3 linked regions of the Caenorhabditis elegans genome follow. The protein of the gene in region 1 interacts with the protein of each later gene in a pairwise test. Each region holds a gene or a part of one and is shown on either strand. Other genes may lie near its edges.

The links. Proteins that work in one complex are often made in the same cells at the same time.
Region 2: the proteins of gpc-2 (region 1) and gpb-1 interact in a two-hybrid assay, tested with the Caenorhabditis elegans proteins (one study listed by BioGRID).
Region 3: the proteins of gpc-2 (region 1) and gpb-2 interact in a two-hybrid assay, tested with the Caenorhabditis elegans proteins (one study listed by BioGRID).

The regions. Positions count from the first base shown.
Region 1 is NC_003279.8:6,755,770-6,758,733, reverse strand, and holds gpc-2 (G protein gamma domain-containing protein), read right to left. Parts: upstream 972-2,964; 5' UTR 967-971; coding exon 878-966; intron 827-877; coding exon 727-826; 3' UTR 556-726; downstream 1-555. Other genes in the region: calu-2 (EF-hand domain-containing protein), read left to right, coding at 247-496; hrpf-1 (RRM domain-containing protein), read left to right, coding at 2,388-2,466, 2,509-2,638, 2,683-2,923.
Region 2 is NC_003280.10:11,742,269-11,749,426, forward strand, and holds gpb-1 (Guanine nucleotide-binding protein subunit beta-1), read right to left. Parts: upstream 5,383-7,158; 5' UTR 5,380-5,382; coding exon 5,323-5,379; intron 4,793-5,322; exon of another isoform or gene 4,655-4,792; intron 3,876-4,654; coding exon 3,762-3,875; intron 3,714-3,761; coding exon 3,618-3,713; intron 3,531-3,617; coding exon 3,452-3,530; intron 3,303-3,451; coding exon 3,152-3,302; intron 2,415-3,151; coding exon 2,285-2,414; intron 2,235-2,284; coding exon 2,163-2,234; intron 2,112-2,162; coding exon 1,895-2,111; intron 1,818-1,894; coding exon 1,711-1,817; 3' UTR 543-1,710; downstream 1-542. Other genes in the region: Serine carboxypeptidase ctsa-1.2, read left to right, coding at 300-479.
Region 3 is NC_003279.8:7,317,748-7,322,652, forward strand, and holds gpb-2 (Guanine nucleotide-binding protein subunit beta-2), read right to left. Parts: upstream 3,339-4,905; 5' UTR 3,202-3,338; coding exon 3,125-3,201; intron 3,078-3,124; coding exon 2,989-3,077; intron 2,441-2,988; coding exon 2,304-2,440; intron 2,209-2,303; coding exon 2,090-2,208; intron 1,858-2,089; coding exon 1,665-1,857; intron 1,622-1,664; coding exon 1,403-1,621; intron 1,111-1,402; coding exon 1,014-1,110; intron 912-1,013; coding exon 733-911; 3' UTR 543-732; downstream 1-542. Other genes in the region: F52A8.1 (DUF2650 domain-containing protein), read left to right, coding at 1-143, 213-302; F52A8.3 (uncharacterized protein), read right to left, coding at 4,583-4,848. UniProt on the Caenorhabditis elegans protein: Guanine nucleotide-binding proteins (G proteins) are involved as a modulator or transducer in various transmembrane signaling systems.

The DNA.
Region 1 (2,964 bases):
AATATTTTGCGGATTCAAAACTGAAAATATTTGAGAAACATGTGTTTAAGAAAATTTAGAACTTTAGAAAATACAATTATTTGAAATAATACGGTTTTATAAATAGGCTAACTCATTTTTCAATATATAAATACTTTCGAATCAATATTTATTTAAAATATATTTTAAAATAATATATTTCTAAACTATTCTGCTTCGGAGAAAAGTCGTTCAATTTTTTTTTTCCTAATTTGTGTCCATTTTTAGATTCCGTACAGTTTATGACAAAAACAAAGACGGAAAACTGGCCGGCGACGAGCTGACCGATTGGCTTCTCGTTGATGGAACAACAGCTGGATCTTATGAAGCTGAAAGTCTTCTAACAAATTCAGATGATGATAAAGATGGACAATTGTCTTATGAAGAAATTGTGAAGCATCATGCTCTTTTTGCCAAAACTGAAGCTGCTCAAGAAGCCGATCATCTGCACCCATATTATTCTCATGACGAGTTGTAATTATGTAGATCTCTGAATCGAAGTTAATTGAACAAATGATAAATTATTTACAATTGTATATATCTGAATAGTTTATTCACAGTAGTTTGCTTTCATTTTACAAAAAATTGGAAGAATGCGAAAATTGGATCATATAAATAGGACGAATAGTAAAGACAAAATCGGCGTTTGGATTAGTATTATGGATGACAAAAGTGAGGTTTGAAAGCGATGGTGGATGAATAAATGATTTAGAGCATGCTGCACTTGCTCTTCTCAGCCCATGGGTTAACCTTCTTGTCGATTGGGTTCACAAGTGGATCTTCTTGGCTTTCGGTGAAGCGACGAAGTCTGAAAGAAACAAAATTTTGAAAGTTGGGCATTCTGATCTCGTTAACTTACTCGGCTGCCGAAACAGTGATCGGAGTACGCTCAATATTGAGCTGGCTGCGAAGCGAGTCGACGGTTCGTTGCATGTCAGATTTATCCATCTTGTCTGAAACATTTCTTTATTGAATCGGAAATGAGAATCGTTTGAAAAAGAGTATTTGAAAGCCAAATTATACGAATTATTGCGAATACCATGGAGAACGAATAGTATTCAGAAAGTTATGAGAAACGGGTAGTTGCAAGTGTACGTTATAAATTAAACTTGTTAAGAACATTCAAAATTGGCCTATAAATAAGTTCGACTGACATTATTTAACTTGAAAAAAAGAGGTTTTTGGTAAAAGCAAAGGTTTAAATTAGGTTGAATTAACTGAAAAACAGTCGAATCATGGATTTTATTCAATTGAAAACCGAAGTTTCTGACTATACATTGACAATATCAGTCGAATTGGAAAAAATGAGTACTATAAAAGGAGTAGCAGAGCAGAGCAAAGACAGAAATGAGAGAAGAAGTGAGCACCAGCGGGACCCTGCCAGTCTTTTCTCTGCGCTCCTCCTCGCTTTGTGCTTCGCATTTGAAAATCAATACTTGAAAGAGTGTAGTGAAAATGGAGACATTGTAGAGGGCAGAGTGCTGCTGCTGCTGTTTCGATTGGCACACACACTCTCGCTCTGGCGCATACATTTACGCGAGACAACCTCACACACAAGCCCTACGAAGGAAAATTGAGAAGACGAAGAAGACATGGAAATTGAAGTGAGAATATATGGAAGATGACGGAAATGGAGGGGAATGAAGACATTAATTGGTGTTATATTTTCAAAGTGTGGAGCTTATATACAAAGGACAGACAGAAAATCATGGCACTATATTCGGAAAAAGATTTATGTATATTAAAGTTCACTGTGAGAAATTAAATTATTAAGCCAGCATTTTAGATTTTTTTCGTTATCGACAAGTCAATTGACAGATCTTTGAAAAACCGTGAATATATCCTGCAGTTCTAAAACAAAATGAGACTTTCATCGCCCAAAAAATTAAAACTTCATTTAAATAGCCAACCATCAGTTTTACAATTGTAAGATGCTGCTAGACAGAGAACAGCTTTTCTTACTCGTTGGAGATGCAAAGCATTTTCAGACCAAATAAACTCACTGTTTGCATTTAATGGAAGATGAGAAAATAAGTGAAAATTTTGTTCAAAAATACATTGTAAAAGAATAAGAAAACGGTGGTACATAGAGCCTCGAAACAAAAGAAAAATTAATATTAAAATGCATCATTTATTGTTCGTAGTACGGTAAACAATCGGTGTTTGCGACCACTGCAACGGACGCTACGCGCAAATGCACGGCCGAGAGTTTAAATCGAAAAATATTTTTTGTTTTGTTACTTTGTTTTCTTTCGGTTTTTATGTGAAAATTGTATTAGTTTTTTGTAATTTTTGCCACAAAAACGTATATTTGATCTCGACGGATAAAAAAGAACAGAATCAGAAAAATCCGTTTTTGTCTTTCAGAAATGTCTACTGCGTATGAAGTTCAATGTCGTGGATTACCATGGGAGGCCACTGAACAGGAGCTAAGAGATTTTTTCGGAAGTGAGTGGTGTTTTAAATCGTTATAAAAAAATCTTCTTCAAGATAATGGAATCGAAAGCTTGGAAATTCCAAGGAGAAACGGTCGAACCAGCGGTGATGCGAAAGTGGTTTTTACCAATGAAGAAGACTACAACAATGCTTTGAAAAAAGACCGAGAGCACTTGGGAAGCAGGTTTGACTTTCAAATATTTCTTTTAACGAATTAACTGTTTGCAGATACATCGAGGTTTTTCCTGCGGGTGGAGCACCAACAAGGCGTGGAGATCGAGGTGAACGTGGAGATCGTGGAGATCGTGACCATTATCGTTCACGCGGAGCACCTCCAAGAGATCGATATTCCGATCGTGGAGGACCACGGAGTAGCGGGCCGGACTCAATTGTGAGGCTTAGAGGATTGCCATTCTCAGTTACGAGCCGAGATATCAGTGATTTTTTAGCCCCATTGCCAATAGTTCGGGTGAGTAATACTACAAAAGTCTTGTTTGATTTCTTGAAATA
Region 2 (7,158 bases), on another chromosome or scaffold:
CAGACCCAAAGTTTTTCCAAACAATACGGCGCCGGGTCTCGACACGATAAATTTTTGTTGAATGAGCGAAGCTGTGCGCCTTTAAAGAGTACTGTAGTTTCAAACTTCCGTTGCTGCGGATTTTTCATCGAAAATTATTTTTTTGAAAATATTACTCTTTAAAGGCGCACATCGTTTTGCATTCATAAAAATTGTCGTGTCGAGACACCGGGTACCGTATTTTTAAACAATAAGCTCTCAATCGCTGCGAGACCCAAGATTTTTAATGTTTTGTAAAAATTCCATAATTTAATTTCCAGCTCTCCAAGAAGAAGACCCACTTCACTGTGAAGGGTCAAATCGGTGGATACGTGACACAGTACAAGGGATCCCAGGTGACATTCGCCACTGTTCGCGGAGCCGGACACATGGTACCAACCGACAAGCCAGCCGTCGCCGAGCACATCATCCAATCGTTCCTGTTCAACAAGGCCTTCTAATCGTTAGGAGAACAATGATAATAATTTTGAAATAAATGTCTGAAAAACTGAGCTCACAAGAGGTTATAAGGTTCCAGCAATTTATAAGAATTTGGAAATTGAAACAATAAAAAAGAATAAAAAGGGAAATAAGATTTTTTGGGTGTTTTGGGGAAAAGAAGAGATGGGGGGATGGGGGATGTTCATTTTTCAAGAATTGTGATGGATTAAACAGATGTGGGGGGTTGAGGGGGAGAAGAGAGGAAAAGAAGTGGCAGCTATCCGAATAAATGAGAACTTTTTTATCTTTAATTTTGCGATCGGAAGAACTTACAAAATCACGGTGGTAGGAGAATTAAAAGAAATTAGAAAAAAAAACTTAGGGGGTTTTGTGTGTGTGAAAAAGTTGAAAACGGTCTGGAAAGGGATCGATGGGATACATAGAAGACAAAAAAAAGAGGTGAAGATTTGTGGGGGGAGTCAATTAAATTAGTGTAGAAGACGAGAAATGAGAGAAGATGATACCAGAAATAGAGAAAAAAAGAAGCTTAAATAATTATATATCGGGAGGAAATAATAATTAGAATGGATCTCATATTGTGCTTTTCTTGATGTGGGGGTTTTAGGATTAGTGATGCGCGTGGCGTTCGCTTTTCGATTTCAAAATTGTACTCCGCGCGCGTGGCTCCATCACTGTATATCTTGCTCGCCGAGCACAAATTTGTCTTACATATATATAAAATTTTTTGTCGTAGCATGAATATCATGTTAGTAGAATACGATCGGGGAGAGAAAGAGAGCGCGCGCATGTGTATGTGTCTGTGACTAAAGTGAGTGGTGAAAGAGGAAGAAAGATTAAGCTTCGCGGGGGGCGGGGAGACACAGAAAATGTGAAATAAAAATAAATGAGAGAGAGAGAGTTGAGAATTGCTATAATAATAATTTTCACATAGTAAAAAAAATTGATGAGAAAATTCGAACAAACGTCAAGGAAAGTAATATGGGGAGGGCGATTGAAGAGAGACTAGAAAGTACCGAACAAAAAGCGATGAGAAGAGGTGAGAGAAGAAAAAGAGATCCGGGCACGCGGAAGAGGGCGCCGGGATAGCGGATAGCGACGAAAGAATGAGAACAACAGGGGGGTTTCAAGAGCGGAAAAAAATTGGGGAAAATGGGGAAAAAAATTGCCACGTAGTGTCATCATCATTCAATCAATAATTGGAGAATAATTAAGGAAGACATTTGATGTTTCTTAATTCCAGATCTTGAGGAACGAGTCCCATGATCCTGTGCACACGGCCATACCGTCCTCGGTGACTCCTAGACAAGAAACTCGGTTATCGTGACCAGCCAATACTCCTGAAATTGGAAGAACAATTAGTTTTTCATCACTTTCAACTTGGAAAATTTCAAAAAAAGGAGCTAAAGGCACTCACCAGCTCTCTCCTGTCGCATCGAATCCCAAACATTGCAGTTGAAGTCGTCGTATCCGGCGAACAACAGGCGACCCGATTTTGAGAATGCGACACTAGTGATTCCGCAAATAATATTATCATGAGAATACATGGCAAGTTCCTGATCAGCACGAATGTCGAACAATCGGCATGTCGCATCGTCGGATCCGGTGGCGAACGCGTTTCCGGATGGGAAGAACTGCAAAAAATTGATTTTTTTTTGAAAAATCTTCAAAATAATAAAACTTACGGCAACAGCGTTGATGTCTGACTCGTGTCCTGGGAACGTTTGCTTGCACATGCCGTCTCGGATATCCCACAACTGAAATTTAAAAAATTTAAAAAAAAATCAACTTTTCAAAAATCCTATACCTTCGCCGAAGCGTCACAGGCTCCTGAGATGAATGTGCGGAAGTCTGGAGAAAGTGAAAGCGACATGACGTCACCAGTGTGACCGGTGAACGCGGTGCACTGTTGTCCGGTTTCAATGTCCCATAGAGCGCTGGAAAAAAAATTGGAGAATTAGGATAATTTACGAAAAAGTGATATTATATGATATGGTAGAGGTTAAAGGCACATGCCGGTTTGAAAAGTGGGTCTCGCCACGATCATAGTGGCCGCTACAGGCGCCAAATTTCTCAGATTTGTTAATTTGGTGTAGAAAATGAAATTTTAAACTCTAAAATGCAATTTGCACTTTAGAATTTGAAACTTTACAAACTTCTTTTTTTTTCGTGGCGAGACCCAATCGGAAAATAGCGTGTGGCTTTAAAAAATCTGAAATTTTGCAGAATCACGAGATAAATTTTGGAAGTTATCTGAAATCTTTCTTACATTTTCAAACTGGAATTTTTTTAAACTTTTCAAAGTACAAACTACACGTCTAGAGATCACAATTTAACAATAGACTTGTAAAATTTTGAAGTCCGAAAATTTACATTTTTCGCGGGCCGACTTTTGTGCTCTTTCTGTCTTTTATTCACACGTTCTTTGCTTCTCTCCACCTCAATTTCATCAAGCGGCACAAAAAGAGCCCAGTTTGAAAACAAACTCATCAACATTCAACATCCGAATTTCTCCTTCGCACTTCTTCTACTTTTGTGTGCTCTGGCTATACACTGATGCTCAAATTACGCGGAAAAAAAAAAATGAAAAGTAGAAACTAGTTGATAATTTATGATTTTTTATAGGATTTTTCTTTAATTAAAAAAAATGAAATTTTTCAAAAAAAAAACCCACCAAGTCATATCTCCGGAAGAGGTGACAATTTGGTTGTCATCAAGGAATCGACAACACGACAAGTATCCAGTATGTCCTGGAAGCTCACGAGACACCCGCACGTTTCCCTCGCGTGTTTTCAGCGAGTAAATTGAGCAAATGTTGTCGAGACCTGGAAAAATTGAGAATTGTTACTTTTTATTTTAAAAAATTTGAATTTTGCTCGTGTAGATTTACGAGATTCAAATTCTCAATAGAAACCCAGATTTCCCAGTAATCTCTCCGGAAAATTTGAATACAATGAGTAATCCTTCAGCTTACCTCCACAAGCGACAAACGATCCCGATGGAGCATAGGCACAAGTCATCACCCACGATGATCTCAAGGGAATTGCATGAACCTGGAAAAAAAATGCAAATTAATTTCTTTAAATTTTTTCTTTTTTTATCAAAAAAAAAACAATTGAAAATCGTCAAAAAAAACTCACTTTATTTGTGGTGTACGAGTCCCAAACGATGAGCTTTCCGTCTTGTGAAGCTGACACCAAATTGCGACTGTCTGATGCCCAGTGCATTGCATAAATCTGCAAAATTTATCGATTTTATGACTAGAAAAAGTCTGAAAGCCCTACCTTGGCTAAATGTCCCCTAAGCGTACGTCTCGTCCTCATCTGAATGCGGCCAATTGGCTCCAGATTTGAAGCGACGGTGGCCAGTGTTGTGTCATTTGCTGATTTCCGGGCTTCCTGCAAAAAATTAATTTATTTTGTTTTTTTTTTAATTATGAAAAACTTCAAATTATTGGTTTTTACAACTTTTTACTTCAAAATCTGTAAATTCGGGCCTTAAATTTTTATAAAAATTACTGTAATTTCCACTCTAGGAATTTTCATCGATTTTTCATAGTTTTCAACTAAAAAACATAAATTTTTATAAAATCGAGAGAAAAACTATTATCTAGACGGATATATATGAGGTTTTTTGCCACATGAGTCTCGCCACGAATTGTCGATTTACGGGCTGTTATTACATATTTTTGCATACATTAAACACATTAAATGGACAGTTTGAGATGATGCAATAGTGCCCCGTAAATCGACATGGGGGATCAGAACCTCTCATTTTTAGACGTCCACATAATATGGAAAATTGCTGAAAATTCCCGAATTTGAAATTACAGTAATCTTTTCACAAAAATTTGTCGCTTCGAGACCGGGGACTGTATTTTTGAAGCGAAAAATCTTCCACTTCCATAAATGTTTTGTGCATTTAATTAACACCAATTCAGTGTATTTTCTATCTCTGCTGCCCCTCCTCGCTCCAGGCCAGCTCACCCCGTTTTCAGCACCACGAGAGCTTCACCAAACCCCGCGCAACATTTTGTGCTCGCGCACACGCACAACCATGTGTGTGTGTGTGAGTGCTCGTCGGAGCAGGAGCTACCACCAATTCTAGTGAGCGACGCGATGACAACGACAACGACGACGACGACGGCAGCAGAGTCCTCAAGGGAGAATGGCGCACTACGACACGAGTGGAGCTTGCGCAGAAGAGAGACTGCGAGAGATCTCTCTCTCTCTCTCTCGTGCTCTTGGCCAGCAGTAGCGGCAGAAATTGAGAGCATTCGGCGGCGGGGCCCCGGGAAAATAGTGGAACAAGAGCCGGAGACGCCGACAATCTCACATTAGGCAGCCAATCTATTCTCCTCGCTCGCTCGCTGCTTCTGCTGCTGCTCCAGCTTCTCCTCGTCTCAGTGCCCCCACCAGGGGCGACCCCATCTCGGCCAATGGCTCGCCGCGGCCTGCGTGTGTGGAGCAACAACTTCTGCTACTGATCGATATTTTGCAGCGGCGATGGCGGGTAGAAGAAGAAGAAAAGAAGACGACGACGGCTGGGGGACGACGACCATCGTGTTATACACATCCAGTGCAGCAGCACGTCCCCTCAAGTACGGCGCAAAAACAACGCCGATGGCGGCGGCGGCGGCATCGTTGGAAGGGGAGCGCTTTACTTATTACCAACAATTTGTATATGTATGTGTGTATATGTGTGTGTATAAATATATAAATGCGTGTATTTCTCATATTTCGCATATTCAAACAATTGCTAGACCATGCTCTGGAACGAGAGATTACTGCAATTATTAGTTTAAAAAATATTTTAAAAAATAAAAAAAAACACAGATTTACTCACCCGAATCTGCGACTTCAGCTGTTCAGCCTCCTGTCGAAGTTGGTCAAGTTCGCTCATCTTGCTGCTGGTGGTGGTGCGTGCTCCGGAGGATGGTACTGATGGAAGTGTCGACGGATGCGGCTGCGGCTAATGCTGCTCCTGGTCGGTGTTCGCGTTTTCGACGGCGGCGCTGCTCTATTCGTCGTCTTCGTGGCCTTTGTTCTTGCACTCGACAACTGGGCCTGCAAAAAAAAGCGTGAATTAAGAATTATTGGATAGAAAAAAAGAGTTTGAAGGAAATAGCAGAAAAAATCGATTTTTTCCAAGAATTTGATTATTTTCATGAAGGAATTAAATTTATCGTTAAAATAATTCAAGTTTTCGAAGCTTTTAGAGATTTTCTGTGGAGAAAATAAGAAAAAATAAGATAAAAAGGTCAAAAAAGGAAAGAAAATCAAAGAAAAACAACAGTGTGCATATTGACGTCACGGTGTTTGCAGAAACTACGGTAGGCCAGCACATGCTAATTGCCGCGCAATGTTTTTTGTTTTTATTTAATTAATTAATTAATAAGTTTTAAATTGAATATTCAATGCGAAAACCAATCAAAAAATGAAGAAAATTATTGATTGTTTCATTGTAATCAAGTAATTTATGTAAAAATCAAAAATTTGAAAAAAATGGATTTTTTTCAATTTAAAAATAAGTGATTCCAGAATTCTATATTTGAAAAAACAACACATTTTGGTCTTACTTATCTAATAAAATAGTTCGATTCTAAAATCGATAACTAGACGGGAAAATATTTAATTCTTTAGAGAGGAACTTTGGAAGTAGATTATTAGCTCTAGGGATCCCTATAGGTGAGATAATAAAATAAGAATAAACTAAAGGTATGTTTTTGATCAAAACATGAAAAACCTACTAGAAAGAAATCTATATCACTAACCCTTTTAATTAAAACCCCTCGACCGACGTCAACTTGGCAAAGACGGTGAGACCAAGCTGCTGATCAGGAAGTACAGAATGACGGTCTGCAAACCAAAATCATAAGCTTCAGAAATTTTAAGCAAAATTTTTAACTTTCAAAAAATCAATAGATCGATTCAGAAACTGGCGTGAGAGCGGAACACTGTACGAGAAAGAAACCAAACCTTGAGACGCAGACCAAGCGGGATGGAAAAGGGGAGCGGGCGGGAAAAAATGTAAAAGTGTTGGTCTGTGTGTGTGTGTGTGGCGCGGAAGAACAAAACAATGACAAAAAAGAAAGAAAAGAAACTGAATACCACAAATGTCGAATGAAATGAGGGAATTAAGGAAGGAAATGATGGGGCACAGGTATTTGAGTTTTGAGGGAACATATTGCTCTCCGTGTTCAAATACCTTGGGCTCTCCCAGGTAGGAGCGCAAAACGTGACAAAAGCTAATATATATCTGTGCGAAGAAGGCGCGGCTCACTCTTTCTCTCTCCTACCATTGGATCTGCGAATTATTGATTCAACTTTTGTTTGCTAAATGCAGAATTCTAATTGCTTTGGGCGAGGGGACATCTGGTGCCCTCCAGCAGGTGGTGCGAGCATTTTTAACCAATAAAATTGTACAAAGTTCTCAGACAAAAATAGGCCAATTTTGACCGAGCCAGACTGCCATCGAAGATTAATGGCTTTGATGTGACGTGGCAGGACGCAAGACGGCTTAATGGCTGGTGTTTGGGTCTAAAATGTGAATGGGCACAGGAAATGAAAAAGCGGCGAAACGTTCTGGACTAGAAGGGAAAAAAAAGAAAAAATAAGCGGATTGTGTCAGGCAATCAGTCGATTCGACTAAGCAACACACAGCCCAGAGAAACAGACACGC
Region 3 (4,905 bases), 560 kb from region 1:
AATCGATTGAGCCACTCACGATCAGAAGGAGTCCATTGGCATGCCCACTTCCAGTTGTCGGACAAGCTTGCCCAGAAGAGAACGTTTTCTGGTACTTCAAGTGCTGCGGACAGATTGCTGATCAGTGTTGCTTCCGTCTTCAGGTAATAATTCATTTTTCAAAAGATCTGCTGAAATTTAAATATGTTAATTTCTAAATTTGTTTCTTTCAGGATTGGGTTACTGTTCTTCTTCTCTTCCTTGCCGTCTGCACGATTCTCTCGATCATCATCAACTGCGTCAGATGCTTCTGCTGCGCATAAGTATTTGACTTATAATTTTCACATTTCTTCATCAAATCTTCGGGGCAACAGTTTTATCAAAATTTCCACTTTTCTCTTTATAACCAATTCACTGAATTTCTTCCTTTTAATATTCTCTGATAATTTGCCATACGTTGCTCATTGAATACTCTACTTTCCACACTTCTTTCTTTTTTGTTATGTAATTTTCCTTTCCTCACAGTTCACCCTTGCCTTTTTGAATTGTATTTTAACAGGTGTATTTAGTGAATTCTATTTACATCATTCAGCAATGAACGAGTACTTTACAGTATTTGTGACTAGAAAGTTGAGATAGGAGAAAATAGTGGGATGGTTAGATAATAGTACAGGGATAGAGACTGGTGGGAAGGGGGATGAGTAAAGTGACATAAAGCTCAAAAATTGTAAGAGAAAAATTAATATTAAATAATCAAGCCCAAATGCGAATTGTGCAATCCCAGCTCGCCGAGCAGACGGCTGTTCCATCAGGAGAAGTTCGGAGGCAACTAATACGATTCTCATGTCCATAAAGTACTGAATGACGGGCGCATTTCAGCGAATCCCATACACCGACACGATAATCACCATAACCAGCAAATAGAATACGACCTGTAATTTTTTAATAGTTAGAGTGAAAAGTTTAGTTCTGTGAATTTCAGAGATGCATTGAATTGATTTGGACTATACGTTTTTGTGAAGATTTAAACGTACCGCTCAAACTGAAATCGACTCCATTTACGGGGAACAAGATTGATTCTTTTTCATACACACATACTTGACGATCTGCTCGAAGATCGAATAAGCGACACTGGAAAAAGTAATATTTTCAGACAAAACAAGCAACTCTCGCGACTTTCTCCCAAACTATAATTTTCGAAAAATGGAAGAATAACCGTGAAATTTAATTAAGATTCTCTTGCACGGCCATGTGTCGATTTACGCAGCTCGTGTACTCCCCGAGGAGAAGTGGGCATATTGTCACTTCTTCTCGAGGAGTACACTAGCTGCGTAATTCGACACATGGTCGTGCAAGGCTTCCATAATTTCCCATCCCTTCTCCAATTTTCAATAATGAAGAAGTTTAAACACTTGTGACTTACAGTAGCATCATCAGATCCAGTTGCAAATGCATCACCATTTGGATGAAATCGAACAGTATTAATATCAGCTTCATGTCCTTCAAATGATTGTACACATTGTCCTGAACGAATATCCCATACAAGAGAATGTTTGTCAGCTCCTGCGGAAATAAATGTATTTCCAGTATCACATTTTGGAACATCGATTGCAAATACATCACCAGTATGACCATGGAAATTCTGAATTTTTGAATTGGGTTTCCGATTCGCGAGAATAAAAAACCTGAATAAGTTGTCCACTTTCAACATCCCAAATAGCACATGTTGAATCTCCACTTCCAGTTAAAATAAGATTATCCGAACGAAGGAATGTACAACATGACATATAAGAAGTATGAGTTGCTACTTGTCTTTTCTTTTGAATTATATCATCTTCAAAAGAAAGTGGAACGACACTGCATTTATTATCAAGTCCTCTGTAAAATTGGAATTTTTGAAAATTCAAAAAATAATAATAAAAATTTTTAATTAATAACATGAAAGCTTCAAAATTGGTAAAGTATACATGAGCCAATTTTTGAAAATTCCGTCTGTAAGAGCTCTTTTATAATTTGAAAAAAAAAACAATAAATTCTCATGAACACTATAAGTCCGTGTACTACCGTTTGTATTTTTTGAAAGCTTTGAAGTATTTGAAAGAAATCTTACCCGCAAGCGATCATTTGACTCGATGGAGAGAATGCACATGCCATAACCCAAGTTGTTGGCATCGTAAGAGCATGTTCCTTATTCGTAGTAAATCCATCCCATACAATCACTTTCCCGTCCTAAAATTTACTAATTTGAGCAAATTCATTTTAGAAATCGAGGTTTCAATTTTTGAAGACTACTGAATCTTTTGTAAGTCATATTTTAAACCAACCTGAGATGAAGAGACGATATGTCTTTTATCCAATGACCAATCCATGCATAATACTTTTCCCACGTGTCCTTTTAAAATTCGACGCTGTTTTACACCAAGAGCTCCCATAACGTCAAGTCGTTCGGCTGCTTGTTGAACTGAAAATTACTTAGGATGTAAAAAACTACTTAGTGCGTTTTGGGATTACTGTAGTTCTTGGTAATAGTAAATTAGGCATAACCTCAAAAAAGTCAAAGAGAAAACATTTAGAATTATGCAAATATCACAAAGCATATCTGGTATCTTTTTGTTCATCAAATTATTTAACTCAAATTTCTTTAAAGTTTTCAAAAACTTTTTTCAACTTTTTTCAGTCAAACAAGTTCTCAAAAAGTCCAACTTCACCTAGATTTGACAATTTACCAAAACTTAGACGTAATTTTTGGTGTGTATTGATATTTGGGCAATTATAATATTCGGTTATGAAGAACCGCATTGATATTTTTATTCAATATCCTCACTGATTGTGAGCTTTTAATTCAAAAGTTTATTTTTTCAATAAAAAAACAAAGAAAAAAGACTCCGGAGGATTTCTAACCTAGGAATTGTAAAGTTCAATTTTTTAGTAGTGTTCTTCTTCAAAGTCCCTCTTTTTAAATTGAAGTATTCTAATAAATTATCTTTTTAATTTTTTTCAAATACTTACTAGGAATGTCATTAAGCTTGTGCCTCTCTTGATCCAATTTCTTTCTAAGCTCTTCGGCTTCATTTGCCAATTGTTCTAAATATTCCGATCTGAAATAATGTAGTGTAACCCTTTGTAATGTAAAATGTACAAATACCCTTTTTCGGTTGTTGTTGGCTGAGAGTTTTCTGGCATTTTCGACGAGGAAGACGATTCTCCAGCAATGGTGCTCATTCAAATTGCGTTTCTTTTTGAGATCAGAAGACGAATTATGCAAAAAAAGGAAGAGAAGACTGAGGGTTGAAGAAAATGAATTTGAATAGAACAATTAGAGATGGGCGGTTTGTTTGAGGTTTAGAGGCACATTTTTCCTGAAACATTGCTATTAAAAAAATAAGTTTGAAGTAGCCAAATTCTTAAAGGACATGCCTAGAAATGTAAGAAATATATAGGAAGATCAAGATCATTTACATGATTTTGGATTTTAATTTTTTATTTGAAACAACAAATTAGACAACAGTTTGGCACAATTGAAACGAGCACAATGTAAAAAGAATTTGATTTTAAACCAAAAACATGTTGATAAGGTAATTCAAAATATCGTACTACCATTACTATTAATTTATATTTGCCTAAGGTTTTGCAATGATCGGAGTTTCACACATTTTATAAGTAACGTTTATAAAAAATAAAAGTAAAAGCCTTTTTTGCAAAGTTATTCTGTTGAACATGCTCAAAAATAGGATGGATGTGGCTACATTATCATTAAATTATCATAAATTTGATGGTATTGATTAAGACAAAACTATATTCGCCACGACAAAAAGCCGTCGAGGGCCCGAAATCATGGTGCAATGAATTCTATTTGCGTGCCTTACTCCGCTATGTCTCGCTTCTCCCTCTTCACTATTTTCTCTATTTCTTTTCTCGTTTTGCCGAGCGGTCCTTTTTGCAATGGAAAGAGAATGCAATGCGGTCGCGTCGCGGTTTCTGGGAAAAAGATGAAAAGAGACGGAAGAGATGTGGAAAAGAGAGTGGCTCGAAGAACGGGATGAGTTAAAATTAGGCAATGCACATGTCTTGATGGTTTTTGTGAAGTGAAATTAATTATAAAAAAGTGCTAGGTTAGCTTAAAAGTTGAGTAAAACCAGTTTAAAAAGTCCCACAATCGTTTTAGGTTTTTTGAAAAAATAAGTTATGGAAAATTGTCAAATTTTTGCAACTTTATCCTTCGCAGGGAATAGCATTGTGGAATGCTCTAAAACCTACAATATTATAATAAAAAAAGGCATAAGAAAAATAGGAAACTCGTATAAAACATATTTTTCTGTCTACTTGCAGAGTTATGATGTGTGAAAATGAGAATTTACCACTTTTCGACAGCGCATAAACATATTCAACTTTTTTCTGAAAAGCTTTACTATGATATTGATAATTAACAATGTTATCACTATAGAAGTGGTTTAAATAAATTCCCCACTAAAACCAGAAATCTAGACTAGCTGTAGCTGTAAGACACTTCTTGTACACCGGTAGTTTCAGTGCCAATAATTTTAAGACTCAAAATATTTATTCAAGCGTAATATACAAGCAGAAAAAGTGAAAGACAGAAAAATTAATATCGAGAAACATTGTAGGCATCAGGTCGGTGAGCAGTTGCCGGAGCCGTCGACGAGGTATAATAACGATCTTCAGCAGAGAACATGACCTGATCACCAGGAACCATGACACGAGATATTTCAGAATCTCTTGGTGATGAGTCCACGTGGATTTGACGTGGAGCTTGACGAGTGTGTTGAATATAATTAGCATTACCAGGAATATTATCATAATTGACAGGAATTGGAACAGGAGCAGATTGGGCAATGATAGGAGATGAGACTAAACTGAAATATTGGCTATTTTTACTGAATTTTTTAGTTTGTATGTGAAGCAGTT